Linked DNA regions of Drosophila melanogaster. Changing the gene in region 3 together with the main gene of any one other region gives a genetic interaction. Each region holds a gene or a part of one and is shown on either strand. Other genes may lie near its edges.

Evidence for each region.
Region 1: of sqd (region 3) and Rpp30, changing one suppresses a phenotype caused by changing the other (phenotypic suppression), as found in Drosophila melanogaster (one study listed by BioGRID).
Region 2: of sqd (region 3) and Imp, changing one enhances a phenotype caused by changing the other (phenotypic enhancement), as found in Drosophila melanogaster (one study listed by BioGRID).

Annotation. Positions count from the first base shown.
Region 1 is NT_033779.5:247,247-257,271, forward strand, and holds Rpp30 (RNaseP protein p30), read right to left. Parts: upstream 5,128-10,025; 5' UTR 5,072-5,127; coding exon 4,981-5,071; intron 4,921-4,980; coding exon 4,733-4,920; intron 4,679-4,732; coding exon 4,610-4,678; intron 4,556-4,609; coding exon 4,281-4,555; intron 4,219-4,280; coding exon 3,948-4,218; 3' UTR 3,793-3,947; downstream 1-3,792. Other genes in the region: Dus1 (dihydrouridine synthase 1), read right to left, coding at 5,417-5,899, 5,974-6,139, 6,200-6,644, 6,710-7,133.
Region 2 is NC_004354.4:10,814,950-10,825,970, forward strand, and holds the start of Imp (IGF-II mRNA-binding protein), read right to left. Parts: upstream 9,329-11,021; 5' UTR 9,226-9,328; intron 7,838-9,225; exon of another isoform or gene 7,443-7,837; intron 6,869-7,442; exon of another isoform or gene 6,370-6,868; intron 687-6,369; exon of another isoform or gene 653-686; intron 1-652.
Region 3 is NT_033777.3:13,641,123-13,652,418, forward strand, and holds the start of sqd (squid), read right to left. Parts: upstream 5,183-11,296; 5' UTR 4,798-5,182; coding exon 4,631-4,797; intron 3,449-4,630; exon of another isoform or gene 3,237-3,448; intron 2,088-3,236; coding exon 2,047-2,087; intron 1,982-2,046; coding exon 1,707-1,981; intron 1,634-1,706; coding exon 1,390-1,633; intron 1,306-1,389; coding exon 1,177-1,305; coding exon of another isoform or gene 1,067-1,176; exon of another isoform or gene 1-1,066. Other genes in the region: rin (rasputin), read left to right, coding at 7,947-9,375, 9,687-9,937, 10,052-10,444. UniProt on the Drosophila melanogaster protein: Component of ribonucleosomes. Could be needed to organize a concentration gradient of a dorsalizing morphogen (Dm) originating in the germinal vesicle. At least one of the isoforms is essential in somatic tissues.

The DNA.
Region 1 (10,025 bases), on a different chromosome or scaffold from region 3:
ATGAGCTGTTTCAGTCATTAGATGCAAATACAATTTCTAGAAAATTATGTTTACACATGTGCACTAGTAGGCAGTTTGTGAACTTTAAATAATTACATTTTTTCGAATCGAGAAAGTTGCGCTGTGCAATTGCTGTTGGGTGGTCATCAGATGAGAGAGATTGCAAGGGGAAAATCGCGAAATGAAGCAATGCAAAGAAAAGACGGCGAATGGCGGCGACAACATTACGGCGACAAGTACAAAACACGTATTATGCATGTGTGCGTGAGTTGGAGATTCGCATGATTCGTGCAAATTCGCCGCATAGTTGTTCCTGCTGTTTTATTCGCATTCGCATATCGTGATGCCTTTTGTTTGTACATGTGTATCTGTATCTGCATCTGTGTGTGTTTGTTGGCCTGGGTGTGCTGTATTTGTGAGTTGGGGTCGTCGTCGTTCATATGTTTGCCTTGTTGTTGCTGCCTGACGTTGTTTGGTCGGTTTTGATTCGGTGTTTTGGGACGGATGATATTATATGGTCGCTGGTCTCTGTCGCTGCCTTTGCCCGGTTTTCCGTCCATCGTTCGGTTCTCTCGCCCGTCATCACTCTTCTTGTTGAGCTCGTCGGTCATTTTGATTGGGTACAGTGGTACGTCAAAAGCCTGAACGGAACCTTACCAAAATCTTAACTACAGATTACCGAGTGATTATCCATCTGTTAACAGCAACACATTTAATATTTTAATAATTTCACAATACTTTTATTAAATTTATAATTTAATTCTGTAAAAACTAATATCCATATATTACCACCTATTTTACTTGCAGTCCGAGAAAAGAAAGCTTTACTATTGTTTCCCAATGATTTCTAACATACCCCCCACCAACCCAGCTGGTGTTCTTCAAATTTTCACGTCACATAAGTTATTTTTTCGCCTTTTACTTAAATTTTTTCGGCGAAGCCGAACGAAAACAAGAACAACTGTAAGCAATGAGTGGTGGAACTGCCCACTCGCCCCAACTTTAGCATTATTCGCATATTAACGAGTGGGGGAGGGAAGAATACGACGAGAGGCGAGGTGTAAAGGGAGAAAACAGGCGTGTGACGTTTTTTCGCTGCTTTTTCTTCTTCTTCGCCGAAAAGAGTTGATTGAAATTATTTCGCTGGCGTTTGTGTTTGTGACTTTTCGCTCAATTCGTTTATATGTCTGTGTTGCGTGTCTCGCTGAGTGTGTGTATCTGTTTTCGGTTAAAGATACATAATTATTTCTAAAAAGCATTTTCTGCCTGGCCATTGTTGTAAATCGCTCGCACTTTCACGACTCCGTTTGGAGAGGAGTACTTACATTAACAATTTACTTGAAAATAGTATTACTCACCATTTTTAAATTATTTTTTTGCTGCTAATCCATTTGACTTTATCTTGTTTATTATCGCAGGTTCTCACAATTTACAGTTCATTTGTACGGTTCACGTTGCTCTCTTTAGTTTTTTTTCTCCCGTTTTCTTTTGTTTTTCGGTTTGGTTTTTGGTCACGCAATCATTTTGGACGCAAGTTATCGATAGTTAAGCGCAACGAAATGACAGATGACGGCGAATGAAAGGGCAACAAGAAGCACAACAACAATGCTAATTCAAGTGTAGATACACATGCGAAATAATAATTGTAGCACAATTGCCGTTGCAAGAAGAAGACGCAATGGCAAAAACTACAAAAGCGCAACGGTTGCAATTGTGACTGTTGCTTCTTCTTCTCGCGGCCCGATTCCATCTCACTTACTCACTAACTCACACAAACGCGCGGTAATTACAATTAAAAGTAGTTTTTTACAGCCGAAAAGAAACAAAGAAATCGATAGATATTGCTGGAAATGAGGGGAAAAATCTCTGCGCCTTGGTAATTGCACCAGTAAAAAAAAGAAAAAAGACGAAGATGGAATGGAATGGAAAAAAATTGTTACAGCCGCCGAGTGGAAGAAGAAGAGATGCACAACAGACGACGCGACGCGTCGAGAGCGGCGACAAGCGCATGAATTTTACGCTCTCTCATCAATTGCGCGTCGTAGCGGCGGTGTGTGTGTAAGAGCAGACCAGCATATCAGAGAAAGAGTGGCCCGGCTAGAAAAACGTGTGTCCAAGCACTGCCAACTGTGAGTGTGTGCACCGAATGAGAAGAGAGCGAGTGGAGCGAGGAAGATGGAGGCAGACAGATGAGTTGACACAGCGACCGAAGCAGAGCAAAAACCAATCAAAGAGGAAGAGCCGCAAATGGGGATACCGTTGCATATGTGCACTGTATCTATGTGAGTGCTACTTTAGACTATCAATATAGAAATATTGATGACAGCTACAGTGCAGCTTGGACCAAGAACACCAAATTTGTTATAAAAAGAAAAAGATTGCACTCGAGTTGTTGGTTGTTTTGCAGCACAGATTAAATTTGTAGAAAAAACGAGGAGAAATTTTATCTGCAACAGAATCGTCTTCTCAAACCTGCGGATGTTTTGCTAGATTTTCGAGTAGTTTTCCTGTTTATTTCTTAAATTAAAATCGAGCCATTGAAATAAACCTAATCGAAAAATAAGACAATTAATTTGGGAATATGATTTGCACTTCGGTTTGTCCCATCGCAATAATAACAAACTGTGAAAAGAGCAACGAGAACGTCGACTGCGACGTTGGCAGAGCAACTGTAGCAATGGCCATTATGGTAGATGGATAAATGCGCCACGGGGCGTGAGTGAGGGTGGGGAGAGATTGTCTCCTGCACAGGTGCAAAATGTGCGGCGCTGCATCACCCGAATAATGTTGGCAACACTGCAGCGAAACGGGGCACAAATACATACACAAAATGTATGCTACAAGCGTTACGAGAAAAAAAGTCCTAGCTATAACCACCAACAGTTTTAATTTTTTTTGAGTAAAAAGCGGGAGTAAAGAATATGGCGAATAGAAGTTGGAGAAAGAAATCAAATGAGCAGGCAATAATCAACGTGATAATTACACTCAAACATGATGAAGACGAAAACGCAAGCGAGCATCGCACACATACACAAACTTCCCGATGATGACCATTTTTAATTGTATTAGACGGTCGCCGCTCACATTTTCGGATTTGATTTTCGATGTTCTTCGGCAATTTTGCCATTAATTATTCGCACACACACATACACGAACACAGGCGCATAGAGAAATGCACTTGGAACTGCGGGGGAAAAAACAATTGAAATTCGACGGCTGCTACTTTTCAGCTTTTCTTCGTAGTCTCGCGAAATATATTTCTTTTGCTTTGCCGTTTTTCTTTTCGTCTCGTCGCTTGTCTTCTTGCTCTTTTTGCTTTCTCTGTCTTACTCTCCACTCTCCTCTTTGCACATTTTTTCTTTTCAAGTGACTCGGTTTCGACCACTTTTCAAATGCTAATTTTGCTTAAAATACGCTCAACTCCGATCAGATTTGGTGCTTTTCCAGATGCCGGCACCCTGGCAAGCGTTTTAAAGCAATTTTTCTTAATTACTTTGCACTTTAAATTACCGTTTAACGCAAAATTCTAGCAGCAAATTTCAAGACAACGCGACACACACATCAAAGACCTCCATTTTGTTTTGTTGTTGTACGCTAGAGCTGGGACGAAAATCAATGTTGCCAGAAGTCCCGGATACCCGCCAATCGATGGTTCTTCTTTTTATGCCATCGATATATTATTTTAAATATCGCTACTGACATCACTAATGTACAAATGACAACAAACGGAAATATTATTTAACAAACAACTTAAAATTTAACGATAATTAGCATAGTCAATCGGGTATAGTTAGACATGTAGCTGCTGAAGTAAAACTGTCGACCTTTTCCTGGACCCAAACCACGTGCAGCCTAGACCCAAAACCATTACGTTACGTTAGCCGGCTTTCGTCGTAAAATCAAAACTAGCCAACTTATTAAAAAAGCTGATGTATTTTAGTTAAAGGCTACGCCACTTTAAGTCGTTTAATAGCGTGCTCAGTTCCGTCTTTGACTTCAAATGCATCCGCTTTTCCAATTTGCGGTTTTAGACCCTTCATTTCGTCTTCGGTGCTTTTCTCGTCCTCAGAGCTATCCGAGTATATTATGGGACCGTTTCCTTTGAGAAACATGATGGTTTTTCCCAGACGACGCGCCTCAGCCTTCAGGAAAAGTTCCCGGCAGTGCCCGTCCACAGCATTTTTCCCTTGGTCCTCTGATAGGCCGAAGATAAAGGCCCTTTAAAATGTTAGTACCAATTAGACTTCATCTTAAAGGTAATCTAGTTAGCTATATCTTACAAATTAGCAACGTCGTAAGGTCCTCTCAGCTGGAATTCGTGCGCCGCACCACTGCTGAAGATAACGTTCTTGGACTTCCCTTTGGTGCAATAGTTCTGGGCGATCTTTATCATGTCCTTCCTGTTATTCGAATCGCAGATAGATGGAGCGTATTTAATTTCGAAGAACATGCCCCGACGGACTGCCACCTGGTATGCTTTTCGGTTTACCAAGAGTCGGGACCCAGCCACAGGATCAAAAGTTATCAAGTCCCCATTGAAGGCAGTGCAGCAGTGCTTAGATGGTCCGTGTTAAATGATGATTTGAAGGTGGTACTTATAGTGACTTACCGTCAGGGCGGCATCTGTTTTCGGTTGGCCAGCGATGAGATTGAACTTCCGCAGATTATGGGAGACACTCTACAGCAACAAATACAAATTAACTTGCTATTATCCATCATCAAGTGTTCCTACCATCGCGTGGGCCACATTGACGTCTACGTAGAGAATGGTGATTCTCTGCAGGATTCTCAGCTTGTCCTGGAACTCCTTGCGCAGATGCTCGATCTTATGAGGCTCGGGAAACATCTCGGACCCACGTTTGCCCGGATCCTTTTTGCTGTGGTCGAAACTCTGGTCGATGGCCACTGTTTTGTAGCCCGCTGCAACGAGTATGTCGGATGTCGTGGGAATCTTCTGTATGGTCATTTGTTCTCACTCACTTTCCACCAGCTCGTTAAGCAGGGCCCGCAACACGGAGTCGTCCTTGTTGTATGGTATGCTGAAATCGTAAAATGGCCTTGTTTGCTCCATTTTAGGCTTTGTTTTGATTTTCGTTGCCCACAGCGTGCAACCGGTGTTTAGAGTGGCCAGCTTTCGCCAGATAATTGAAACACATTTTAGGGCACAAATAACACGGTCACACTAACAGTTTTTTTTTTTTACATAGGAAACTTTAAAAGTATAAATGCACAAATAGAATGGGTTCGCATAAATTGGCCAATTCAACCGGTTTGGGGTTTGCTTATGAAAGAAACCCGCCATGGAATCAAAAGTTTGAATGAAAACAATCAATGCGGTTTTTAAAACAAGCTTTTTTTTATTCGCAGTCATAGAAACAAAAACAAGAAGGGTGTTTCCTAAAGTACAGGTTTAAGGTCAAAGCGGCTCCTGCGCATCCGTTGGGGCTATCGTCAGGTCATCGTCTGAAGTTCTCGTCACCTTCTGGTGGTCCTGCGGGGCGATGTGCTCCTCAAAAAGCTTGGCCCTGGCTCGGCGGGATTTGATGAAGATCCCGTGACCAGGACAATCGCGATCGTTGTTGTAGCACCTGTCCTTGCAGCACACGCGGCACAGCTGGAACTCGCACTTGGATCCCTGGGGATTGGCGCATTCCGAGCAGTATTCCAGGCGCCTCTCGTGCCGATGCTGGATCTGGGCCTCCGTTTTGTTGGGTCTTCGCTGGCGTCTTCGAAGTTTCTTCATCCGTTTGCGGGAGATCTCCTTGCCGTCCTTGTCGAAGTACTGCCGCTTGGTTCGGTTGGGATCCTCAGCCTCGCGCACCTTTTCGGCAATCTTCTGGCGATGGGATTCGGGTGAGGCGCGTATATATGGTTGACACAGCCAGGGAGAAAGTGGCAGCTTTATTGGGGAATATAAAATATTCGTGTTATTTCAGATCCACTCTATTACAAAGATCCGTTCGAGCAACTTACATCTTCCTCTGATCCAGCAGCCATTTGTTCGGGCTCGTATGGCACCTCGCCCTTGTGGAACGGCTCGTATTTTGCCCGTACTTGTTGCACGACGGCTTGGAATTGCACGAGCTGATTTGCAGTGGCTAGGTATTGCCGTAACTCAGAGTTCTGCCGGATATTCATGCTACGAAATAGAGAATTGATTTTGAAAAATCGGTTTAGGTTCGGTAGTGTAGAGACTTACATGTGATGGAAGAGCTTGAAGAGATGTCCTCGTATAAAGGAACTCGGGCACGGATGGAGCTGAACGAGCTCCAAGTACTCATGGGCCATTTGCCAGACGGGCGGTGAGACTCCTTTAAAGATGGCCGGATTGTGCAGATTACCCTCGGCGCTCATTACACCATCGACTCCTGTTTCAGTCAGACAACGATGAACGTCGTCCAGGGCCAGGATGTTTCCGTTGGCAAGCATTGGAATCTTGATGTGCTGGCGCACATTCTTAATGTAGTTCCAATTAGCCACCCCGGTCAGCGGACCCTTCTGCTCTCTGGTCCTACCGTGGACAGTCAGAAGCTGGCAGCCGGCCGCCTCCAGCATCTTGGCATACCTAATGGTCTTCTCAAGGTCCTCGAAGATGCGAATCTTGCAAGTTACAGGAACGGCTAGTTTTGCGTGCAGTGTGCTCACTAGGATAATATAGCAGTTGCAATCACTAGTTCCATAAACAATCAAAGTAGCCTGTGCTACTCACCAATCTCTGTCAGCAGCTCCCACTCATCCTGCAGGAAGGATCCGTAGTGACCTCTCTTGGCAATGGCCTGGGGACAACCCAAATTTATGTCCACCGCGTCGCAGTGGTCCTGCGCCAGGAGTGCTGCATCCAGGATTTGTTGAGCATCGTTGCCACAGAACTGGATGATCAATGGCCTGTCCTCGGGACACGTCTGCAAGGCATCCTTGCGATACTTGGGGTCTGTGGCGAAGAGGTTCGCATGGTACATTGGCGAGTAGCAGAGTTCGGCGCCATAGCGTCGGCACAGCATTCGCCAGGCCAGCTCGCTTTGATCCACCATGGGAGCCACTACATAACGCGGGGATCCCAAGGAGGAGCGGTAGAAGTTGTATCCGGTGGGCTTGCTAGGTCTTTGGTGCGCGGCGTCTTCATCGTTCACCATGGCAAATTCAAATGAAATCTAAAAAAAAAGATTGGATTGATACGCCTATTGGCAAAAGTTGAAAATATTCCATGCGACAGTGATTATCGGCACCTTTCCCCAAGCCCAAATGACATTAGTCATCCCGCTAACGGGTTGACAAATACCCGCAATGCAGTCTAATATTGTGGCTCATTCTTTACCGGACAGCAGAGGGCTGGATTTCCCAAGGCACCTACGCATTTTCACAACTAGCTAATTAGCGCCACATTAGCGGCGAAAGGGAGCGGCCGAGCGAGCGACTGGGAAAAGCCACGCACAGTTGGGCAAAGCCAAACAAATTTGCATTGAGCTCACACAGGATGAAAACAGAAACGCGGAGCTAAGGGTCGCTGAAAGCCTACTCTATATTTTGTATAATTAGGATAGAATGTCATTTTTTAGATCTTGATAGAATAGGATTAATGCATGCCTTTTGCTCGAACCATCTGATTTCGTCCCGATTACTCTTGAAGACTCGTTTTTTGCATTAATTTTGTAATTTCACTTTTGTTGCATCTGCAACTGCAATTGCAACGTCTAATGTCTAGTGCTTGCTCGAGTTTGCTCCAATTAAATTTCTTCAACGACTACACCGGGTTTTCTTTAATACCTTCTCGTTTCGCTTTCGTTTTTGGGGCTTGGCCCAGGCATAGAAGCGTGAAAATTGCGCTCTAAGTCAATGCACATCAACAAAAGCAACAATTACGAGAAAAGCCGAACACCAACTACTGCCACAACATACAACAATGCGCACACTAATTGAGTTATTCAAGTTGTGCATGCAACTCAAAACTGAAAAGTTCAAACCCTTCTTTCCACCGGTTTATCGAAATTATCGGACTGCGTTGCACTGCATAAGGGGACACACGTAAGTTTAAAATGGTTTAATTGAAAGCATGAGGTCGAAAGGCTATGAATTCCCATTAAGTTAAAATACAACATTTAAGGTAACAACTATTAAAATTTTACCCTTATCAAGGCTGGTAACAAATGTTACCAAAAGTAACCATATGTATAATCACTAGTTCGTGTCCATATTATCCGGCAGTCTATTGGTGACGAAACGCACCTGCTTCTCAGCACATCCAAAAACAAGGTATCTCTGCTATCGCTTGCACAATAAGTTGCACAACTTGGCTCGATTCGAATTTTACTTTGCAGAATCGTAGACAAACGCAGTGAAAAAGAAAAAGTTTTCACATTGAAAGTTTACTGACCGGAAATGGCGTGCAATTTTATCAATGGCGAAGGCCGATTGTCATCTATATAGTAATCTTCTGCCTGCTTGCCAGGACTTTTCAGACTTTCCCTGTTGCTCAGGTTTTTTCGCTGACAATGCGCGGAGCCATTTCAAGGCAATGTCTGTAAGTAATTAAAGTTTAAATGGGCGGGAAACTTTCCGGCCCCCGAAAGTAAATTGCATAATAAGTGAACCGAAATAAAGTGCAGGCCCCAAAAAAAGGGGCGTGGCTGCCGTTTCGCTGCCAGCTGTTGGCTTCGTTATAATTATGCCCAAATTACAACGAAGTTACCAAATGAGGCGCCCATGGGGTCCTCCAGAAGCAGGAAGGGATCGGGCAGCCGCGGCTCTGGGCACTTGCAATTAAGAACTTTTCCAAAAGCGGAGGGGGAGATCAAGCCCAACTGCAGCATGAATCGGCAGAATGTACAAGTGATTTATAAGTTGCAAAGAAAATACATATTCCTTCAATAATTTGCTAGAAAAGGTTTCATTTGATCTATCATATATACATTTCCTATTTCTAAAGAAATATATTCTCTAAGTGATACAAAATGATAAGCGATAGTGGTCTTGGATGAACTTCTCCTGCAGTAGGTGCCAAAATATCTGGCCATCCCGTCCCCATTACCCTACTTCTATTCCAAGCCCAGCGGAGTAAATTACATAATTCGCAGTCCAGGCCCACAAATTCGGGCGGTTAGCCGCAGGGTGGCCAAAGTGTGCAATTGCGGAGACCGCAGACAGTTGGACTTTGTTTCGCATCTGCCGGATTCGGGAGCGACTAATTGAATCAGCCGCACACTGGCAATCGCTGTTCAAAGCTTTCGATTTCTGCGGCGCCCGGCCAAAGATAATTAATAATTTCCGCACCAATTAAGGCGGTCCAAGACCAAGAGCAGTTTCGGCTTTCACTGGATACCCCAGAACCAGGTGCGGGTTCACCCGACCATAGCTACCATCAACCTTCGGACACGCCTCCGAAGCCGCACATCGCATGCGGTGGAAATCAGCCAGGCCCCGGATCCTGCTTTGCCAATTTTCAAAGTGGCCCTACCAACGAATTCGTAGTGGGCGCAGTGGGTAATGTATTTATTTACTTCTAACCTTGCTACGCGTTGGTCAGGTGCCCTTTAAAATGCAAAACTGTAAAATCGTGTCACGAATCAAAACTCCAAATCGAAAATCCACTTTCGGTACTCTGAGATGGCAGATAAAGATGAAATATCAACCGGCCCAGGAGAAATGTGCCGATGCTCCCAGTTGCCCCTGCACTCACAACCTCCAATGCCACCCATGAGAAAACCATGACACCCAATCGAGCGGTGAGGGCCACTCCAGTTCCAGACTGCGAGCGAAGAAAACTCGATAAGAAATTGGCGTAGCACAAAAAAAATGTGAATTAACTCGCTTGCCATTCAACGAGGCGTTAAATCCTTTCGAGCAACAAAAATGGTTTAGAATGGATAAGAAGGGGAGTGACCTGCTGAGTTCGCCATTTCAACTTTGCCATCATCTCCGTCTAATTCTTCTCTGTGGTTCTGTTTTTGCGTGGCTCAATCCTACACCGCGACAAATGCGCATAGCACTGAGTTAGAAAAACTCTTTATTTTTCAGTCAGTAACCTAGGA
Region 2 (11,021 bases), on a different chromosome or scaffold from region 3:
ACACGCTCAGACAGAGAGAAGAGCGCGGAGGGGCAGAGGAAAAAAGCAAAGGCAAACGAATTAAAGTCAAAGTCAAAAAATATGCCACGAAAAAAGTAGCAGCAGCAGCAACAAAAAATACACATAGAACCCCCTACAAGCCCCCGTTATTCACCATCCCATTCCTTTTTCTTTATTCTTCTTCTTTCCCTTCTAGTTTTCTTTTCTATTTTTCTTTTTTGGTTTTATAAGGGAAGGGAGGGGGTTTTTTTCTCAGTGGAGATGATAGTTTATACGGCGGACTCGTTAGTTGCTTCGTTTCGTTTCCGTTTTCCGACGGATAATACCCGTGTATCTAAGTATCCGTGGCGCGCAAAACGTGAAATGACAAAAAAAATGGTACGGCGGTCACAAAATATTAAAGTAAAGTGTAGCACAGAGAAAAAATTGATTCAAGGCTGCTGGTTTTGGTTTTGCTTTAGCTGCTGCTGCTGCTGCTTCTTCTCTTCTGGTTTAATTTTTTGGGGCTTTTCGTTTGGCTATTTTTTCTCTTGTTTTTCATTATTTGTTGGCTTTGTACAATTTCTTTCTGTCTGCTTTTTATTTGATTTTAATTCTTTTTTTCTTGTGATTATTTGGGGCAGCCCGCGAGTCGCGACGCTACGTTGCTTACAGTTAGGAGCGTTTTCAGACACTAAACTGCCGACCGAGCGCACGGACGCTGTTTTACTCGAAAATTACATTTTTTCTCCGCTGCCGAAATTCCTAAACACAGATACAAAACACACGCACACACCAATGCGAAACTCACACACACAAATGCACGCACACACAAGGGCATGGCAATGGAGAGGAGAAGTAAAAGCAAAAGGCAAAGGCAAAACACCAAGAAACCGCGTGCACTTGTATGTGTGTGTGCGTTACGGATTGCCGAAAATTTTCGGCGAGTGTTTTCTGAGTCGAGTGACTGTGGGTAAGTGAGTAGGTGAGCGAGTGAGTGCGAGTGCGAGCGAGGTGGCGTGTGTGGAGTGTTGAGTGGCTCCAATGTCTTCTTCTTGCTGCCATCGCTCTTCGGAAATTGATAAAAGCAGTAATTAAAGCTAACAATGAGACGGATGAAATCTAAAATGGTGGTTTAGTTCACTTGGGTTATCAGAAAAGCTCCGCCATTCGCAGATCCTAAGATATTATAGCTCAGTTATAGTATCTATGCATTAATTCTTAATAGAAATTTATCACGGTAATGATTATAAAGCAGAAAATTCTTTAGTGATTATTATTTAAAATCACATTATTATTTAAAATATAAGTTACTAGTTATATTATTCATACCGTACAATAGAATATTATTCAGTTCTAGAAAAGGTAGGATCTTCTGAAATATTAATTAAACAAGATGCACTCCTACATTGAAAGCCAATTAGAAATAGGACTTCTTTACACAAACGTACTTTAGAAATATTTTAAAAGATTTTAAGAGTAACTTTCACTTAAACTTCGTTGAATTGGAATTAAATATTTAAGAGATAGAATTTAAAGACTAATACGGGTTAAAAGGGCTGTGGTCACAGATCACAGTATTTTGGCATTTAAATTTAGAAAACGGGACCAATAGAATTCGCAGAGTCTATAACATAAAGGCTCTTTGAGAAATTTTTAAAACAAGCTCTTCATTTTGTTTGTCCTAAGGATTATGTTTGTCGTTAGAATATTAAAACAGGTTCTAGTATTTGCTTGAATATTAATAAAATCAAATAATCTGCATAAATGTAAGATTTCGCTGAAGTTTCTCTTAGGAAAAGAAAATAATACTTGCGAAAGTAGTCTAAATTTTCTATAGGATATAGGATATGCGTGAGTGAAAGATGCCTTGCATGGATCCTGGATTCTGGATGTTCCAGCTATGGAAGTTGGACTGTATGAGGAATTCCTGTCGGCACACTCTCCTCTCAAAGAAAAACTCACTCGAAAAAGCGGCTCAGAAAAGACGCGCGTGTGTTGCCCTCGCTCCAGTCCCCCCTGCCCACTCTTCCTACCTTGCTCCACCGCCCAAAAGTAACTGAACTTAAAGGAGCGCGTGCGAGAGAGATGCACAACGCACTGCTCTCGCTCGCTCTTTTTTAAACCGCTGCCGGCGTCGACGTCAACGCGGACTGCGCCGCTGGCGTTGCCAAAAAACGAGACACACATGAATACACACACACAAACACGTATAAACTTACGAGGTGTCCATGTGTGTGTGTGCGTGTGTGTGTGTGCACGCGTGTGTGTGTGAGTGTGGCGATGACGACGGCGCTTAAGCTCTGGAAACTGAAAACCGAAAAGGAAGAAGGAAGCGGCAAAAGGAAGTGAACTGCGAGCACACAATAGCTGCTCTGTATACCGGCGTTCTTGTTGCTGCTGCTGCTTTTTTCCTTTTTTTCTTTTCTTTTCTAAGAAAAAAAAAGCAACGCAAAAAGCAGCCGAAAAATTGAAAAACGAAATGCGAGCGTTAACCAAAGGGGAAGGAGGATGGGGGGGGGGGGGGAAAGAGGTGGTTAGGATAGTGGAATGGGGGGATTGTGTTAGATGTGGAAGGACACTAAAAGCGAGTTTCACATAGAATCCTAGTTGAGGGGAGAGGAAGATGGCTTAGGGGCAAGGCTAATACAATGTCCTTGGTCGACAAGTTCAAGTCCAAAGCTGCGATTAGCAGTGAAAAGTTTAGACCAAGCGGCAAAACTTTCTAGCCAAGGACCTTCCGAACAGTCACGTTCTCTGCATTCAGCCCTAAAAAAATTCAACATAAAAAGGTATTCCATTTATCACTGTTGCAATCAGTAAAACAATTGGCTTACAATTTGTTTAAATTACATTCAGTAATCTTACACATTAAACATTCTAAAATAAACAAAAAATTCACCTTTTTTTCTGAGCTGAGAAGAAATAAAGCATTAAAATCGACTACTTTGATAAGTCAGATTTATGACATACATTTTTTATAACCAATAGATTATAATTATTATATATATATTATAATATATTATCTACATATATTTCAATGAGAAAACCTTTTTAATTAAAATAAACATAGCTGTAACCTTCTTTACATATGTATGCATATATAAGGCTATTAAGAAGAATCCTCGTTTTCCTTTCAAGCGCAACTAAAGAGGATATAATCATCACACGTAAAGTGTTGAAATGCCTTTAAAATGCTGCATGCAGCCAGCTTAAATCTCGTTCCGCATCGCTTCTATAGATGCAGTCCAACCCGCCCAGGTCGACGTCGTCTGGTTCTGTCAGCTCACTTGTTGCATGCAACACTGCACTCTGACCTTCTTTAGTTGAACGCCAGCCAGCAAACCACTTCCCCACCCGCCACCACTGCCATCTTAAAGGTCCCTGCACGCGTCGCAATCAAAACAGAAAAGAACAGAATCGCAATCAGAATCGGGAGGGTAGAGGCCGGGAAGGTGGAAAGGGTCCAGGGTTAAAGGAGCAAAAGGATGCAGGATGCAGCGGCAGCAATTGCAGTTGTTGAAGGTGACATTAATTGACGTTTAATAGGCCTCATCTCGCGCCGGAAGGATACAGGGGTGGTCAAGGATGCAAGGATGCAAGGGTGCGGCGGGTAGGCTGTTTGGGTTGGTACATGGTTTAAATTAGTTCTACCCCTTGCCAGCCACTTGAATCCGATTGAATCCTTTCTGAGCACTGAACACCACTTCCTGGCGGCATCCTCCTCCTTTTTCCTTTCCATTCCTTTTTTTTTTTTCAGCCGCGACAAGCCAATTAGAGGTGGCGAAGCTTGTAAAGCTTTTGTGTCCTTTGCCAGCAATTTGCAACAAAAGTGCAACGGCGTCAAGGGTATCGACACAACTCACAGCACAGCACAACACAACCACCATCACCGCCGCCAGCAGCAGCAGCAGCAGCAGCAGCAGCAACATCGGCCATAAACAAGCTAGCTCTCTCGAGGGGTGGCGACTCCTGCGGTTGCAACATCATCCTGCCAAAGGTTATAACCCCCGTGGTGGGCGGGCTTGACCTCCACCTCTATCCCCCTCCTCCCCCTTGCATAACCCTTTTTTTGCAACCGGCGGCAAATGGCGAACGCCTGTTGCAGTTGCACTTTTTGCTGCTCCATTTTACGCTGAACGAATGGAAAATGGCGCGCGCGCAGCAAAGTGCAGCACAGCAACCCCTCGAAAGTATGCAACGCCAGAAGGCCTAACCACCCACTTTCTCACAACCCAACGCTGTCCGCCCCCCCCCCCCTTCCCACACATGCATGCTAAATGAGTGCAAGAGACAGAGAGAGAGAGAGAGAGAGAAAGAGAAGGAGTGCTAGTATGAGGGAGGGGGGAGGAAGAACCTTAGTCCTGCGAATAAAATCGTCGAAAGCTATGTGAATGCGTCCGTTTGAGTCCGTCCACTTAGCCTCTGGGTGGGTGTTTGGGGTTTTCGGGTGGTGCTCGGTGGTTCAGTGGCTCAGTGGTTGATTACAATTCTACCGACTGCAATGGCGAACGCAGTCAAATGTGATTGAGATGCACACGAACCGGAAGGATGCATGCAAAAAAGGGTTCGTGCAGGATTCTTGGGAAAGTGATTTCATTTCCTTGTGGCTTCCGTTTCATTGAATAGCACTAGTAGTGGCTCTTAGATAAGAACTTATATGAAAAGTTAACTTAGGTTAATGATGACCATCATTCTTAATCATAGTGGATAGCTTTGAAATTGAAAATGATTGGTGAAAATGAAAAGAAAACTTTAATCAATGGCAAACCATATGACTATGTACTATATCACAATAGATTTATATTTATACGGCGATATCCTGACTCTGCCGCACACAGTCGACTGCCACCGACGAACAGGACATAAAACAATCGAATGAGGAATGCCGTGCGAAGGGGGATGGGGTTCGAGGAGCTCGTTTGGCTACAGGACACCTTTTAAGGACTAGATAAGGAGTGCCCAAGGGAGGAGCAGACGGATGAGCGGCAGCCAGGCAGCGAGGAGCAGGCAACAGCTGCGAAAGCTGCCCGTCTGCCTACCTAAGCTTTCTTAGAGAGCTGCCTCAAGGACAAACCGCGTCAAAGGAGCGCGCTAACGAGGTACAGTTGCCTCAAATAGAACGAGATAGACGATCGACGGATACTGAGTGCGAGTGCAGATTGATGGCTATCTGAGAATACTCCAACTTTCCAACTTACGCTGCTAGTGGTGGACTAACATCCCCAAAAGTAAGATGCATGTAGCCCTTACATAAGACTGAAGTGAGCACCCTTTTTTTTTATTTAATACTGGGGGTGGTTGGTATCTTAAGATAAAAGGCAGCTTTGTAAGGAATGAAATCTATTCAAACCGAAGCATTAGAACTTACAAAAGCAATAAGGGTTAACTCGCGATTAAAACGAGAGTTTTACTATCAAAAGAATGTAGAATTTAAGCGATGTAATAGGCAAAATTAAGTGTATGGGGACTTAGGAAACATGTTTGGTATATCCTTAAGAATATCCTTAAGCTACGAACCATTGCGCCTTTTACAACTTGGCATCTAAACGATATGAACCACCCTCTCCCAATTGCGAAACGCTAAGGAATTTGACCAAACTGGCACCTATTTCTTTGTCAGTCTGCTTCTAATTCTGGCCCCACCGACATATTGCTATCTCTATCGCTGCAATTCCCAATTTCTTTGGATATACATATATCACTCTCTCTTTTTCAGCGGCTGTTGAACTTTAAAATTGATCCGATTTTATTCGCATCTTCCATGAATTTCGCCTCACTTGAGAATGTATTAAATTTAGAAGCAGACGAGCCAGATTAGAATGAGGAAGAGAAGAAGAAGAAGACGAGCAGGGGGCCAACAAAAAGCGTTGGGGGGGCGGGGGGGCGGTGGTTGTTGGTCTGAAAGGCGGGACAGACGCTTCATTCATGCCACGCGCATCTTGCGCTGTCGACATTTAAAATAGACGCCAAACACGCAACCTCGGCGTTCAACTACAGAGAAGCCTCCGCAATCATTGCCGCTTACATTCTGAACAATTTATAATCGCACTTGTGGAGCATTCCCTGTACTTTGTACAATGTTGCAATGGAGTTGGCATAAAGAAAACTTGGGAATTTATCATCGGATATATGAATGAAAGACACAGACACAGGAACTGTGGCGGAGTGCTAGCTAAGTTATTGGTTTTTAATTGATCTTGGTTGCTTAGAAGAATCTCGACTATTGTAGAGAAGAGATCTTAAATAGGAATAGTATAGGAATAATATCCTCATTCTATCCTCTTATCAATATCAATATAATCAATATATTGAGTTCGTTACGGAACTATAGCAAGGTAACATTTTTCGAGGACCCGTTTCAATATCCTGACAGAAAAGGATACTTACACTTTCAATGGGACGCAAGTGCACTGCTTATTCTCGAGATTTGGATAGGATGTCTGTTGAAATTGCTTGAGATAAAGGTGCCTGATTCTTGCTCCAGAGATCTCAGTCCTTTGCAGGCTCTTGATTCAATTAAGTTGCCAATTGTGTGGGTTCAACATCAAGATTTCAGGCTTTAGAATTGGAAAGTGAGGTCGGTGAATTTTTCTCGAGAGGATCGATATTCTCTGGGCTACAATATTCCAATTGATCGGAATTCTCCAGATTATAAATATCTCTACCTAGTACGTAGTTTAAACAAAATTGTCTGGTCTTTCGCCTTTCCTTTGGCCTTTCTTAGATTCCTTTTTTTTTGGCTTTAATATGGGTGTGTTGCCTGTTGTTTTCCGGTGTCTTGTCTTGTTATGGACTGTGTGAGTGTATATTTTTGATTTTGGGTAAATTTTTGATTTTTTTTTTATATTGAGCGAGAAAAAATTTGAAACTGAATAGTGGGAAAAGTGAAATTTGTATGGGGCTTTTAGACATTTGCGATTGACAGCAAAGCCAATGGTGTGTGTGATTTGGGATATTCAATAATGGGTTATATTTGCAATACTACAATACTTTCTACATAACCTATTACCGTCCATAGCCTAAAGCATTAAAAGAAAATTATAGTTAATCCCTAAGAAATCTAGTTTTTATGCAATCTATAGCTAGTTTTCAAATGCCATAAGAATTACTTGGAATCAAAATCTAGCATCCTTAATGAGTTCGCAATTGATTTTTCCATTGATTGATTTAGACAGGAAGTAACATTTTCTTTTTGGGCTTGTTTTCGCTGTCGTTGTGGATTTTATTTTATTGGGTTTCGTTATTGATTTTTGTGTAGGTGACAACTCTGTGTGTGGGTTGCCGTGGGTGGGCGTTGGATTGTGTGGGTGCGAGCGAGACGGCAGCAGATGCGTGAGTGAGTGCGTACAAAGCAAGGCTGGAAAAACACTCCCTCCTATTCCCACTCCCTTACTCTCTCTCTCCCTCACCTTCTCTCTCTATGGCTTGGTTGGTATCTCCTTTCTCTTTCTTACACTTACACTTTGGTGTATTTGGTAAACCTCAAGAATTCTCGTCGAATTTTTGTTTGTTATTTTATGATGATTTTTCACTTTTCTTTGCGCTTTTCCTTTGGCTTTTCACTGGTTTTTATCTTTTTTTTTCTTTTTTTTTGTGCTTTGTCACTTTTTGCTCATACAAGAAAAAACAACAAAAATCACAAATGGCGGCGCCGTTTGAATCCGTATCCGTATCTGAATCTGAATCTGAATCTGAATCCAAAACACTAATATCTCGATAGCTGTTCGGCGTGAGCTATTGACTATTAACTATTTAACTGCGAACTGTGAGCTGAGAGTCGAGAGTCGAACGAACTGACGCAACGGCGACGAGTGAACTGCCTGCCTGCCGGATATACGGATCCCAATTTCCAAGGTGTCTGCTCAGCGCCCGATGAAAATGCGAGGAAAACTCTGTTCAGCTCTGCTCTGCTCTCAGGACCTCTGCCGCGGCGCTGTAGCAGCGGCGTTGGCGTTGGCGTCGCATTTTCCCACCCATCCAAAACAGTGAAAGTTGTAAACCAAAATGGCTGACCCTGCTCCTTGGCATATTTGTATCTGTATCTGTGTCTGTACTCGTATCTGTATCTGTGTGCAAGCGTCTATACACATTATCCGCTTTAAAGGGCAGCAGCCGGCTTACACCACACTCACTCTAAAAAGTCGGCGACCACTATAAATGATCTAAGGTTAAGAAATCGAATAAGCTAACTATTAATTTATGCCAGTATACATTGCCAAATGTATTATTAAGTTACTATAGGTAATCAAAATATATTTAACATACATTTTAGGCCTTGCTTAGATACGTTACATATTTATATAGCTAACTTCTAATTTCATTTCTATTCCGATTTAATGATCGATGATTTCTGTTGATCTGTTCTATTTCATCTGGTGATCACTGTGCCAGCTGTTGGACCTGTACTTTGCACTGCTGGTCGCCCTATGCAAAAGGTTTTCCCGACCCAAAAAGGAAAAACATCGAAAAACGCAACGGATAAACGAATATTTTCCATCTGATTGGCTTGGACCGGCTAGCTGTTGGCAGCGCTGTCGACGCTGACGCTGACGTTGACGTCGACGCAGCTGCGACGGGGGTGAGTGTGAAATGTGAAAAGCGAAAACTCATAGTACCAAGCGGAAAACTCGGGGAAAAACTCTGAAAACAAGGGTGGCCCGAGCAGAGACGCCAGCGTTTTTCCCGCTCTCTCTTCGCTCATCGCTCTTCTCTCCACTTTTCTCTCTTCTCCGCTCCTCTTCGCTCTCCTTTGCGCCCTTTTATCGCCCCGTCTGTTTTGTCTACTGGCTCGTGAAAATGTCAGGAAAATTCAAACTGCCACAGCTGCTTGACAAAAGGCAAGACTATAATTTTAAGACATGAGGAAAACAAGAGAACGGAAAATGTCTTTCGGGGAAATTGTGAATTCGATTCCACTCACGATTGCCACTTGTGAGCCAAGTTATTGGCATTTGTAAATTGCGATTATGCATAGATATCAATAAAGCTATTATTTTGGCTTATAATAGAATTATATAAATTATTTTCTTTTCCCAATCCCATTGTTTAGATTGCATATATTAATTGTGGCACTTTTCGACTCCAGAAAGTATGCAATGCATTTTACGACTTGCGTTGCGGCTTCTTTGTTACTATGGCCTTTATAATCATAAGTTTGTTTTCGAACGACGAGTTAGAGAGTGTAGTATTCAATTGTTATGATAGTGTTATGAAAGATACATTTCTATAAACAGTACTTGATACCTCAACGGGATTTTCCAACTAGATTGGACGCAATGAGGTTAACACGAGGGAAGTGAGCTGCGAATAGCGATTCCGGGGACTTGGAAAAGTCTGCAGCTCACAATCGTGTTTCGATCTAAGACTGTGCCTTCTCCATCTCTGTTTCCCTCACTCCTGCCATCTCCCTCTCTCGCTGACCTTGCTGCCAACGAAATTTCTACTTCCTGCTCTCCTACATTTTCCCGTTCCTCTTTTTTGTCGATGCTTCCTTCCTTCGTTCAGCTAAATCTGATGCGCACCCCAGAGCAGCAACAAACATAAAATATATATAAGTATGTACATATATATCCGACTGTTACCAACCCAACTCAGCCCACACACACACACACACACACACACAGAGAGTCTACACCCATACCATATCGCACGCACACACTAAGCGATTGCGTCCCGTTTTCGAATTTCGAGCGAAACTTGCGTAGTTTTTCAACCCCAAAATACGGGACAAGGACAAGGTCGAGGATGTGGCCCTACGCCCCTGGACATGGGTGCACAATGGCAGTGGTTCCAGGCCCATGCCCATGCACTTTCCATCCAAGATCTCAATGCTGAGCTGCAACTTTAAGCTTAAACTAGAAGATTACGGAGTGCAGAAGTAAGGCGAACGAACTGTTAAGTTCTTTAACTTCAAGCCATATTTGTTAAGATACAACAATCATTTAGATAGATCTTTCAAGGATATACATCTTTCTACCTCTGACTATCTATATTAGCATATACTTAGGGATCTATTTTGTAGTACCATTGTATAGATATAGCTCTGATGGCAGACTTGAAGAATTCTTTCAATGCATTGATGGAATACTTTAGTTGTCCCGTACATTTCTAGGAGGCTGTTGAACCCCTGAAAATCTCATAATTTGCTTGCCACCACCACCATCGCTGTTGCTGAATGTGCGCTGTGTGGTTGCGATGCGTTGCTGCGTTCCTGCGTCTGTCAGGAATGTTTACAGCCGGCTGGCTGTGAGTTCTGAACTCTCAGTCTGGGCTCTAGCCCTAGCCTAGTCCAAAAAAAAGGGACGAGGATACGAGCTGGGAGGGTTTAACGCTAATGGTAAAGGGAAAGGCGCAGGGAAAGGGAATGGAAATGGGAAAGGAAGAGCCACCACCCACCCCCAGCGGCAACTGCGACGCATTTTTGTGTGTGCGTCCTGTGCGTTGCCATGCTGCGATTTTCCATTTCGATTTGGGATGGTTGGGATCGCATTGGCTTGGATTCTATGGTATTTAGTGCACAGTAAATGAAAATGGTCGAGTGTCGCGACTATTAGATACCTTCTAAGCAGGAAATGAAGCGATTTTGAGATGGGGCTAAACAAGCAGATCATCATTCTCTTTTTTAATACTTTTCGAATGTTTCTAAGAAACCCAATTTTCATTTGTAATATAATCACAAACATCATTTAAAATTACATTCAATTATTTTCGCGAGTGCGTTGGCACGGGAATGGTTTGGCATGGAAGGGGTTGGGGGAGAGAACGTTCCAGTCCGCTGTCTTCCAGCTTTTGGGTGGTGGTGTCCCGTTACGCGCTTGCCACTCTTGCCATCTCTGTTGCACCCACGCCACACGTCGAGGATCGAATTTGGCTGCGTTCCGTTGACTTCGCCCCTTGCTTTATTTACTTTTTTATTATTATTATTTCATTAGATTGCAACCCTTGTGTGTCTCTCTATTCTGGCATCACCCCCCCCCCCCCCCTTCCACCCCTCTCCACACATTGTCCCGTCGTGGGACAAGGACGAACGCCAGTGGAAG
Region 3 (11,296 bases):
CACTGGCGTTTCACACAGTTTCACATAATTGGCACATGCTCCTCTCTTGTGTTTCATGTTTCTTTGTTTGTTGTTATGTCTGGGGTTTCTTTCTGTTCTTCTGGTTGTTTGTTTGCTGCCCTTGCGTTTGAGGTATTTGTCATCTTTGGAAAGTCTGTTGAAGGCAACCAAGTTGTTGTTGATGTTGTTCTGGTTGTTGTTGTTGTTTGTTGGTTGGTCCGGTCTGGTGGTGGTCGCATATAAATGGCAGGATGGTAGCATTATATATGCCTCGACTTGAACGTCACGTCTACTTTTCTCATCGCTCCTTCTCACTCTATTAACAACACATCTTTTTTTTTACACACGCTTCGTCAGTTTTATGTTTAAATGCTACTCAACTAATAATTGGTAATTAAATGTTTCGTTTAAATGAATTCTCGTTTAAAAGGTACGCTTTAAAATTTTAAACATCAATTATATGCCTTTAAAATTATACGTAGGTTTATATTTAATAAGATAGATATAAATGTGTATATAAAAATTGCGATTTTGCTTGTTATTATTAAATGATGAAAATTGTCTGTCAAAATACACATTTTTTTCAATATAAAATGAACGATTAGATTAAAATTTATATGTTAGCATTAAAGAAATGTTTCTTGTTTTCTCTCTTTCAAATCTACAATTTTTAAAAGTTTTCTTGTTTTTAGCGACGTTGCTTTCGTAGTTGTTCTTGTTCTTGTTGTTGTTTTTGATGTTGTTGTTCATTGACATCATATACCAACATGATTTATATGCAAATATGCATATAGACAATGCATGCGGTATATAAGCATATATAAATATATATATATATATATATATGGTACTATATATCGAAATGCAGCTAAACTTTTTGTTTTTGTTTTTCTCTCAGTTTTGTTTGAATGGGAAACACAACAACGTGGAAATTTTGGATCAGATCAGGTCTATGGCAAAAATTAGAAGGTTTTTATATTCTGCGGTTGTTGTTGTTTGCTTTGTTTGATTATTTCTTTCTGATTTTGTTGCTGGCCAGGCCAGCTCTATGCGGCTGAGGCTCTACTTAGAACTGCTGATAGTTGTTGCTATTGTTCTTGTTTTGATGGTAATTACTCGACGTGTTGTTATTGTAATAATTGTTTTGAGCACTACTTTGTTGTTTGTTGTATTTACCATAACCGTAGTCATATCCATTATAGTAGCCGCCGGCATAGTAGTCGCCATAACCACCGGCACCATATCCGCCGTAGCCGCCGCCATAGCCGCCGTATGATCCCTGTCCGTCCCACTGGTTGTTGTAGCCTATGGGATGGTGTGAAATATATAGTTTAGAGCCGGTTTCCATAAGAAGCAAAAATGCACTGCTTCGTTAGCGGCTGTACTAACCACCTCGTCCTCCGTAGCCACCGCGTCCGCCGCGCATACCACCGCGTGGTCCACCACGCATACCGCCCATCATCTGGTTCTCCGGCTTGGGCGTCGCACGCTTAACATCGACCTCCTTGCCGGCGATCTTCTGCTTGGGCGTCTTCAGCAAATCTGTCACCACCTGCTCCGAATCGAAGGTGATGAAGCAGAATCCTTTGCGCTGCGACTTTTGCTTGTCGAATGGCATCTCCACCTCGACGATCTTTAAACAAAAAGAATTTAAGTAAATCATTATTGGCAAATTCCAAAAGGTCTACCGCTTTAGGGTTACTTACATTGCCGAACTGTCCAAAGTAGGTCTTAATCTCCTCATCGCTGATCTCTGTGGTGAGGCCGCCGACAAAGATCTTGCCGTGCCTGGCCTTGGCCTTCTTGGGATCGACCTTCTTGCTGTTGATTATGTGCTCATCCGCGGCGCTGACTTTGTCAATGGCCTCGGTGTTTGTAAACACGATGAAGGCGAATCCTCGGGACCGACCGGTCTGGGGATCTGTCTTGACATTGATGCTCTCGATCTCGCCATATTTGCCGAAGTGATCGCGGAGTTCCTCTGAAATAATAGAAAAGCAACTTGTTAGCATTTGTTTATTTACTTCGTTTTAGTTTTATACTTACTCTCAGTCGTTTCCCAGCTCAGACCACCGACAAACAGTTTCCTGCGAAAGTTTAAAGATTAATTGGTTAGATTGATGGTATCTTAAAACATTTCAATATAGATTTAGGGAAATATTTTGGTAGGAAAAGGTTTATCTGGGAAAATCAGGCACGAAAAATAGGTTGTGTTTGATGCGCGAGGCAAATACTTTCTTAATTTACTTTAAATTTTTTCTTCTCTTACTGATTTTCGTATTGGCTGCAAAAGAATTTGATGACTGGGCAAGAATACAAAACGAATAAAAAAAACTCACCAAATTTGAAGTGAAAAATTGCTTTAGTTACTGTATTGCAATCAAAGAATTGATCGGATAGTGTCAAAATACTTGCAAACTCGGAATGAGCGAAAGAGTTCGAGGAGCGAGCGAGCGATCGATCGAGAGACACAAAACGAGCGAAAGATATAGATATATAGTATATATAAGATATGCAAGAGTGAATTATTAAGTTTTTGTTTTGGGTATGCTTAAGAGTCTTTGTCTGTACAAATAACAATTAACAATTAGTCTTTATTCAATAGGATGAGAGAAAAGAATGCAAAGGTTTTTATGCTGGATTGTGGTTAGTTTTACTTTCTTTATTTGGCTGTTTATTTTATTTTATATTTTTTTTTTTTTATAAAAAGGAATGTTGAAAAAATATGCAGACACTTATAGTTTACTATGATGTGTACGTTACTCATTGATTTCTGGACTTTTTGGAAAGATATCTCATCGTTCTCGGCGGATTCCCGGCAAATTTGGAACAGTCTCATCACACGGCGGCGGAATTTCGATTGCAATTTAGTGATTTGTGCTTCTTTTTTGTGGCAATTCGTTACGTTACATTCGTTCATTGTGTTTCTTTCTTCGGGCGATATATAATGTATAGTTTTTGAGCTTCATAAAACAAAACGAAAAAACTGCGAGTCTCTTTTTCACTCGGTCTCTCTCTGTCTCCGATTACTTGGTACTTTTTTGTTTTTCTTTTTTTTTTAGGTAATTTACAAGTTATACGTTAAGAGATACAATACAATATATACTCGTATACAGTTTACATATGGATCCAATTTTAAATCGAGATTATTTCTTGATAATTTTGTGTGTTGATAGTTCTATATATTGGCTGACTGACTGATTGTTTGTTTGTTTTAGTTTTGGATAGATAAATACCATCAGCATCAGTATCGGCGGAGCGGAGACTTTTGGAGACTGGAGTGTGGAGAGGGTTGCATATCCTCCAAGTATAAGTCCGCCGAATCCGAATCCGAATCCGTAACCGTTTGCCGGGGGCAGGAATACGAATCCAAATCCATATCCGAATCCATATCCGTCTTGAGCATAGCTTAAAACCCTGACCTGGGGCATTTCACTTCTCTCAAAACCTGCCGGAGAGGAACAAGGTTAGTTCGCTCACAAGACAACAGGATAAGCTATGATTTTCGATTTAATTTCTCCATTTCGTCCTTCTTCCTTTACGGGGAATAATCTGCATCTGCTTCGTCAGCGCTGGTTTCGTATTATCGTTTAAATGTACAGTATCGTGTGACTTAAGATTAAACTTAGATATAAAATGATCATAAAGGATGGGCAAATGAAGTGTACGCTAGACCTAAAAACCAAAACGCAGGGGAGCAAACAAGAGGACCATTCTACTTGATCATCATTATCTCTATGCTTTAATCCATCAAAATTATTTATCATTTATAATTTACATTAATTGTTCGTTAAATTAATATTTTGGCGCCTTGGCAACTCCAAACAACGCCGGCTGTCGCTCTCTGAGAGTAAGAGCGCGCAAAAGAGGTGGCGAGCGAGCGAAGCCGGCAAGCAAGAGAATAAGTGAAAACTGCAAAACACGCACACACCTACAGAACAGCGGGCGTTAGGTTGGTATGTATGCCTGTATGCAGCCGCCATTTTGGGTACAAAACTGGAAGAGCACAAAATAACAACGAAATAGCCGAAACAAAGAGTAATGCGAATTAAAAAGAATACACTGACAAATACAAACATAACTTTTTCCAACGTTTTTTTTCGCCACATTTTTTGCAAGTGAAAGGCAACCGTATGATTTGTGTTCGTATGCGTCACAGTGTGTCTGTGGGGCAACGTGGGAAACAAACATAACCTCACAAAGGGGAGAAAATGTGCTCCTAGCTTAAGAAAACTCTGGTTTTCATTGCGGAAAGTGCGTGTGTGTGCAGGGGAAAACGTTGAAAATTTTCCATGTCTCCCGAGACTGTGATGATGCATTTTGGCCCGAAGATTCTATTAATATGACTGAAGTACAGTCGCACCGACACCTCACACACACACACTTAAACACACTCCGACGCACGAGCGCAAGCGAGAGAGAACACAAAAGGGGTCAGACTTCCCCCGCAGAACCCCGTAAAATCCAATGAAACTCGACCAACGACGTTAGCTTTGCATTTACGTAACAGAGTAGGCAATATACACTATGTAGAAGCAGAAAATCTATGGGGGGCACATGATCATCGGTTGCCCGTTGCAAAAATAAAAAAGAACAAAAAAAAAACGTATCCGCCGGATAATGGACATACCTGTCGTCGTCCCGCTGGCCGGATGCGGCCGATTGGTTGTCCGAACTGCCGTTGGTCGAGCCGGCGGCGCCCGCATCACCATTTTCAGATCCCGGACCGTCGGCAGTCACGTCCTTGGTGAAATCCTCGCCGTTTATTTCTGTATCCACTTGCTTGTTCTCGGCCATTTTGTGTGTTTTCGACTGATCTACTAATTTCGGGGGCTAGGCAGCACGATATTCGTTTTTTACGCAGAGCCGGAGATTTTTATACACACTCGCCAAAAAGTCGCGCGTACGAATGAAATGACGACCGGAAAATGATAAATGCAAACGACAGCGTGTGTATATGGGTGCGGCGTTGCCACCTTGATGTTTTCCCAGTCAAGTCGATTTGGTATTATTTTGGTAAATATTTGTATTGTATTTGCTTGCTCTACCTGGAGATTGTTAGCTATACATTTGCCAAGGATTAAATTGGGATTTTCTGTACGATACCACCCCAAATAAGCCTATATAAGGAGCTAAATGGGCGCGTGACTTGTCTGCTTGCAGTATGGCAGCTTTGATTTATACAATGTACACACACCTATGAAGAGAAAATGAAAAGAATACCAAAAATTTTATACAAATATTTTAAAGCCCAGTTTACACAATGGACAAGTTACTTGGTTTATAAATTCATTTTAGTTGTATTAAAGGTTTAAATATTTAAATAAATATTAAGTATTTCATAAACATTTATAATTTTATAAATATAAAAAATACAATGTTCATTATTTACTATGTGTTGGGAACGAAAACAACATTTACATACAAAGAATTGTTTAAAATCGAATTTTCATATTAACTTCTTATAGGCTGAAACATCAACAATATTTTAAATCATTTAATTGGTTTATATTAAATATTTTTATTTTTTGCAAAAATTTATACAATTTTCATATTCGGATTTCCCAACAGGTTATAATATAACGTTATTATGGTTTTTATTTATTTGCTATATAAAATGTTTCCTTTAAAGAAAGGTGTTTCATGAGCTTACTCAAAAAATCGGAAATGGCTAAAATGAAAATAAGTTTTATAAAACTATTTAAAAGAAACTTAGCGCCCCTAAAATGAGCTTAATTGAGCTCAAATATGAAAATATCAAATTCATCAAAATATTCTATGGAACATACTAGATTAACCACCCCAAAAAAAGAAGTGTGTGCACACCCTTGGAAAAGCCGCCATCATTCACACACCAACACACGCGAAACCAAGAATAAAACTGTGCAGAGGCAAAAAAGAGGAAAAGAGGAACGAACGTCGGTTCTCTTCTCGATTCAACACACTTGTCCAATTTCATTGCGTTTGCGATTATTTTCTACTCAAAAGCCACAACATATGCATCGTAACTTAATTCAACAACAACTGTGATCGCCAAACATCAGAAAGCAACAAAAAATACACGTCAAGAATTGCCAAGTTAGTTATTCTCAAAAAAAAAGACAAAAAGAATTGCAACAAACTAGACTAGTGTGTGTGTGTGAGCGAGTGAGTGCATTGGTGTGTGTGGCTGTGTGTTTTGTGTGCAGCTTGCAATTTTATACTGCATTTCATACGTTTCGACTATCGTTTTGTAAATTAAAAAAACCGCATAATTTCAGCGCTCCACTAAGAAATCCAACTCTCCCCGCCCCCCGCAGGAAGATAACAAAGAAAAGTGCTACAAAAAGTGCCGATTTTTCGGCAAACTTCAACCCAAAAGCAATACACACTGTGCATTACAAAAAGGAAAAATAAAAACGAGGAAAAATATCGCTTAAAAAAGGTGAGCCGGCGACGGCCTCGTGTGCGCGGTCTAGAAAAACTAGCATTTTCCATTTTCAAAGGGGTGGCGCATACTAGGAAAAAATCAACATAAAAAATGCTAAATGGGCGTATATTTTATTATTGCGGCAGGGCTCTATCTCTTAAATTTTTTTTTTTACCATTTTAGCGGCTTTTTTTATTATCGCTTGTGCATAACCTAAAAATGTACGAAAAATTTTGTTTTTGTACATTTTTGTTTAAATGCTGCTCTTCAACTATAGCTTTCTTTGTTCTTCCTACACACGCGGTTCGCAAGCAGAAATAGAGTGGGAAAGAGAGAACCCGAAAGAGCGGCGCGTTCATAACCGAATATGTGTGCGTGTGGGTTTGCCGCAACTCATTGTGCATTTTTTGTTTTATCGGCAAATGTTTATGGCTAAAATGGGGCAAAGGACACCTGCAAACATTGATATTTACTTACACCTTTTAACGCTATTTCAAGTGTTTTTGCAAGGCAGCAATTTGATATTTTGGCCAAGCTGGAGTTCATTGTATGCGGCGCCACAACCTTGAGACCCGAACATAACCTCAATTTAATTCATGCTCCTCGCTTGGCGGCTTCTTTTTTTTCTTTGCCAAATTGTATGAGGTCATTTACTCGCGCACACACACACACGTGCAAAGTTCAGTCAGCCAGGATCGCAGGCATAAAAGCTGGAGCACGTGCAGGGTTAAATGTCCTGCGACGGCAAGCAAATTGGAATTTTTCCTGACAGCTGCACTACACCAAATTTCCCCTTTTCGCATGTGCAAATGTGTGTGGGCCCCAAAAGTGGGTCAAACTGCAGCGCGCTGCGTCTGTTTTATATGCACTGCGGTAAAATGAGCTCCCTGTTTTGGGTGTACAAACCTCCCCCCCTCCCCGCCGTCCTTGTGACCAAGCGAAACTCTAGATCCTTATTGGAGAGCACAGCAGGGGTCAACACTTTGGTAGTCAGTCACATTTCTCTAGAAATTTATGTAAAAGAAGCACAGATTGATTTAATGGACAGTCTGAAAATCCAATTAAATTTGTTTCTTATATTTGCGTGTTTTACCGTTATCAAGCCTTAATTCTCCAAATTAAATTTACACGTGATGAAATTAACTGATAACACAACTAGTGATTCATTATGGTTTCTATACTTTTACCGGCACAGGTATGAATAAGCCATCTTTGAACACCTTTTGGAGATTGTAAGAAACAGGGTAGCAGCTTCCTTTAATTTCAAATTATCAGATTGAAAAATCTACACAGTCGTCTAGGACTTTTGCCAACTTTTCTTTTTTTTTATTAAAAAAACCAGACAGATTTTCATAGTGCGCGTATATTTTTTGCACTATTTCGCAGACGTTCCCACACTCTCAATCGACACAGATCAGCCACCGTGTCGATAGATCCGAGCAGCAGCTAGAAAGAAGGGAAGCAGAAATTGGAAGCGGAGACAAAGAATCCGAGTCGAAGAGTCCGTAGTTCAGAGAGGAAGAATCAAACGCCAGCTATGGTCATGGATGCGACCCAATCGCAGCAGCCTTCGCCGCAATCTGTGGGACGCGAGTTTGTCCGCCAGTACTACACGCTGTTGAACAAGGCGCCCAACCACTTGCATCGCTTCTATAACCACAACTCGTCGTACATCCATGGAGAGTCCAAGCTGGTGGTCGGTCAGCGGGAGATCCACAACCGAATCCAGCAGCTGAACTTCAACGATTGCCACGCGAAGATCAGCCAGGTTGATGCCCAGGCCACTTTGGGCAACGGTGTGGTGGTTCAGGTCACCGGGGAGCTATCCAATGATGGCCAGCCGATGCGGCGTTTTACCCAGACGTTCGTTCTGGCCGCTCAGTCGCCGAAGAAGTACTACGTGCACAACGACATCTTCCGCTATCAGGATCTCTACATCGAGGACGAGCAGGATGGCGAGTCGCGATCGGAGAACGATGAGGAGCACGATGTGCAGGTCGTCGGTGGCACTGTGGATCAAGCTGTGCAGGTGGCCGGCGATGTAGTTGCCCAGCAGCCGCAGCAACAGCAGGCTCCTCCGCAGCCACAGGCTCAGGTCGTGGTGCCCCAGCAGGTAGCTCCTGTAGCGGCCGGTGGTGCTGCCCCACAGCAGATCTTCTACCCATTGCCAGCGGGTGCTGCCGCCGGACGTCCTGTGGCTGTTTTGCCACCAGCTCCGCAAGCCGCTGCTGTTCCACTGCCCGCGCAGTTCACCGTTCCGCCGCCACAGCCCATCCAGAACGGTGTGGTGTCGCACGAGGAGCTGCAGCAGCAGCAGGTGCTGGTCCCACCCAGCGTGTCTCCCCTGGTACAGCAGCAGCAGCCGACCGGCACGCCTGTGTTGCCCATTGTTCCAGTGCCAAGCGCGGGCTTCCAACAGTCGCCACTGGTGGCACCACAGCTCATCCAGCAGCAGCAGCAGCAGCAACCGGCACAGCTGCCCCCGCAGCAGCAGCAGCAGCAGCAACCTATCCAGCAGCAGCAGCCTTTGCAACAGCAGCAACAACCGCTGGCTGAGCCCGAGGAAGTGGAGGTGGCGCCAAGGCAGCAGAAGCCTCCCACGCCCGTCGAGGATTTCAAGACCATTCACGAGCAGCAGCAGCAGGAGAAGTACGAGGCCGCCAAGCAGCAGCAGAATGAGCCCAAGACGTACGCGAATCTCTTCAAGTCCACGTCCTCCTCGCCCAGCGGCTTTGTGAACGCCGCACTGCAGCAGCAGCAACAGCTCCAGCAGCAACAGCAGCAGCAGCAGTCCATCAGCAGCAACACCTATAACTCTTCCTCGGCAACCTCGGGTGGCGGTAATGGCAGTCAGGTTAGCTACTCCACCACCGCTTCGTCGTACAACAACAGCAACGGCAACTCGCGACTGGACAACGGTGGCCCGCTGCCGCAGCGAAACAACTCGATCCGCAACAACAAGGGTGGTAAGTTCATCGTTCCACCCTTAAATTAAAAGGGGTCATTCCCCTCTATTCGGCTTCAGGGTAAAAAGACTAAAAGATGTAGTGCAAACTTTTGGATCTCATGTAGAAATGAAAACAGTGGTTTCTAAGAATTACTTTTTTAGTCCCCTTATAATTTATTATGATTGGCTTACGTTCAGATTTTTAGAAAGGTAATGATTCATTTTGTTGGTTTACTTTCTTATCAACTTAAGGTTGGCTTATATGATAAGCAAAATTGGGTACCGCTTTTTAGAAACTCTTCCTAATAACTTGCTGTTTATACTTTACAGACTTTGAGCAGCGTCGCTCGAGCAACACGCAGCAGTTCGGTGATAATCAGCAGCTGTTTTTGGGCAATATACCGCACCACGCCAGCGAGGATGATCTGCGCGAGATCTTCTCACGCTTCGGAAATGTCCTGGAGCTGCGCATTTTGTCCAAGGCTGGCAACAAGGTGCCACCAGGCATGCGCAGTCCGCTGAACTACGGATTCATTACCTACGACGATCCTGAGGCGGTGCAAAAGTGCCTGGCGAACTGCGTAAGTTAAGCAGAAAGTAGATTTAATTATTGGAATTGCTAAGGTATCTCTTTTATCTCCTTACTTTTACTGTGATCAGAAAGGTTATCTAAACATATTCTTTCCATTTCATAGCCCCTATACTTCCCGGAGAACTCACCCGATGGCCAGAAGTTGAATGTGGAGGAGAAGAAGCCGCGTGTCCGCAACGACATGGTGCCGCGCCAGCAGATCGGTGGCAACAACCTGAACAACAACATGGGCCGTTTGGGCGGCAACAATGGTCCGCAGTCGCGTCCGATGGGCAACAACAATGGCAGCGGCGGTGGCATGATGCGCAACAATGCCGGTGGCAACAATCTGCGCCAGGGCGGCGGCGGAGGAAACGGTGCTCCTCGCCTGGGAGGCGGCGGTGGATTCGGACAGCGCCAGGATAACCGCACCGGTGGCGGCAACAACCAGTCTAACGGACCGCTGCGCGGTGCCGGAAATGGACAGAGTGGTGGTGGCAACTACGGACGTCGCTAAGGGAATTGTCCAGCAGCACGACATCAGCAAAAGCATCAACAAATGAGCAACGGCAGCAGTAGCGACTATAACATCAAGAACAGCAGCAACAACCCAACGTTAAAAACATCGACTTCTTCCACAATGCAATCAATCAATTACATTCAAGAACATCTCATGCAATTAAACACACGCAAATCACACACTCATACACTAAGATAAAGTAGTTGGAGCAACATAAAACGTCAACTGTCCTTTAAATGTTCCTGAGCGCAACTCTCGGGGCGTCGAACTACAAACAAAAAAGAAGGAAAGAAAGATAGGATGTAAAGAGTTGCGTCAACGGTCCTGAGTCCCTTCTTAGTTTAATTGCGTTAGGCTCGCTTTTTCCAGCCAGTTCGTGCCAAAATATACCGAAATTCTGTGCAAATCTTCGTTGTGAATCCAAAAACTAAAAGAATGTAAGCTTCAGCTCGGCAACTGCTACTCTCTACCACCCACCACCCACTCACGGAATCAACTTCACCTTGAAACACGTGTATTAAATTTAAGTCTCAACCAAGCACACCCACAAAACACTCATCGCAAAACACACGATCGCACACAAAAGCCAACACAAGATACATACACTCACCCATTTTAGCATAAATGTAAACTTTAGTTTCAGCTTTTGTTTGGCATTAACCTTCAACTAAAATCTATCTTAAGTACGCAAGATGCAAGAAATTGGTTTGATACGAAGGAAAGGAGCAATGCAACACATTTTTGTTTGTTTTTTCATTGAATAACACCATTACTTAAGCTAAAAACAAAAAAATAATTAAAAGGGAAAACTTACACACTTAGCTAAAAAGATATAAAGAGAAGTAAAAG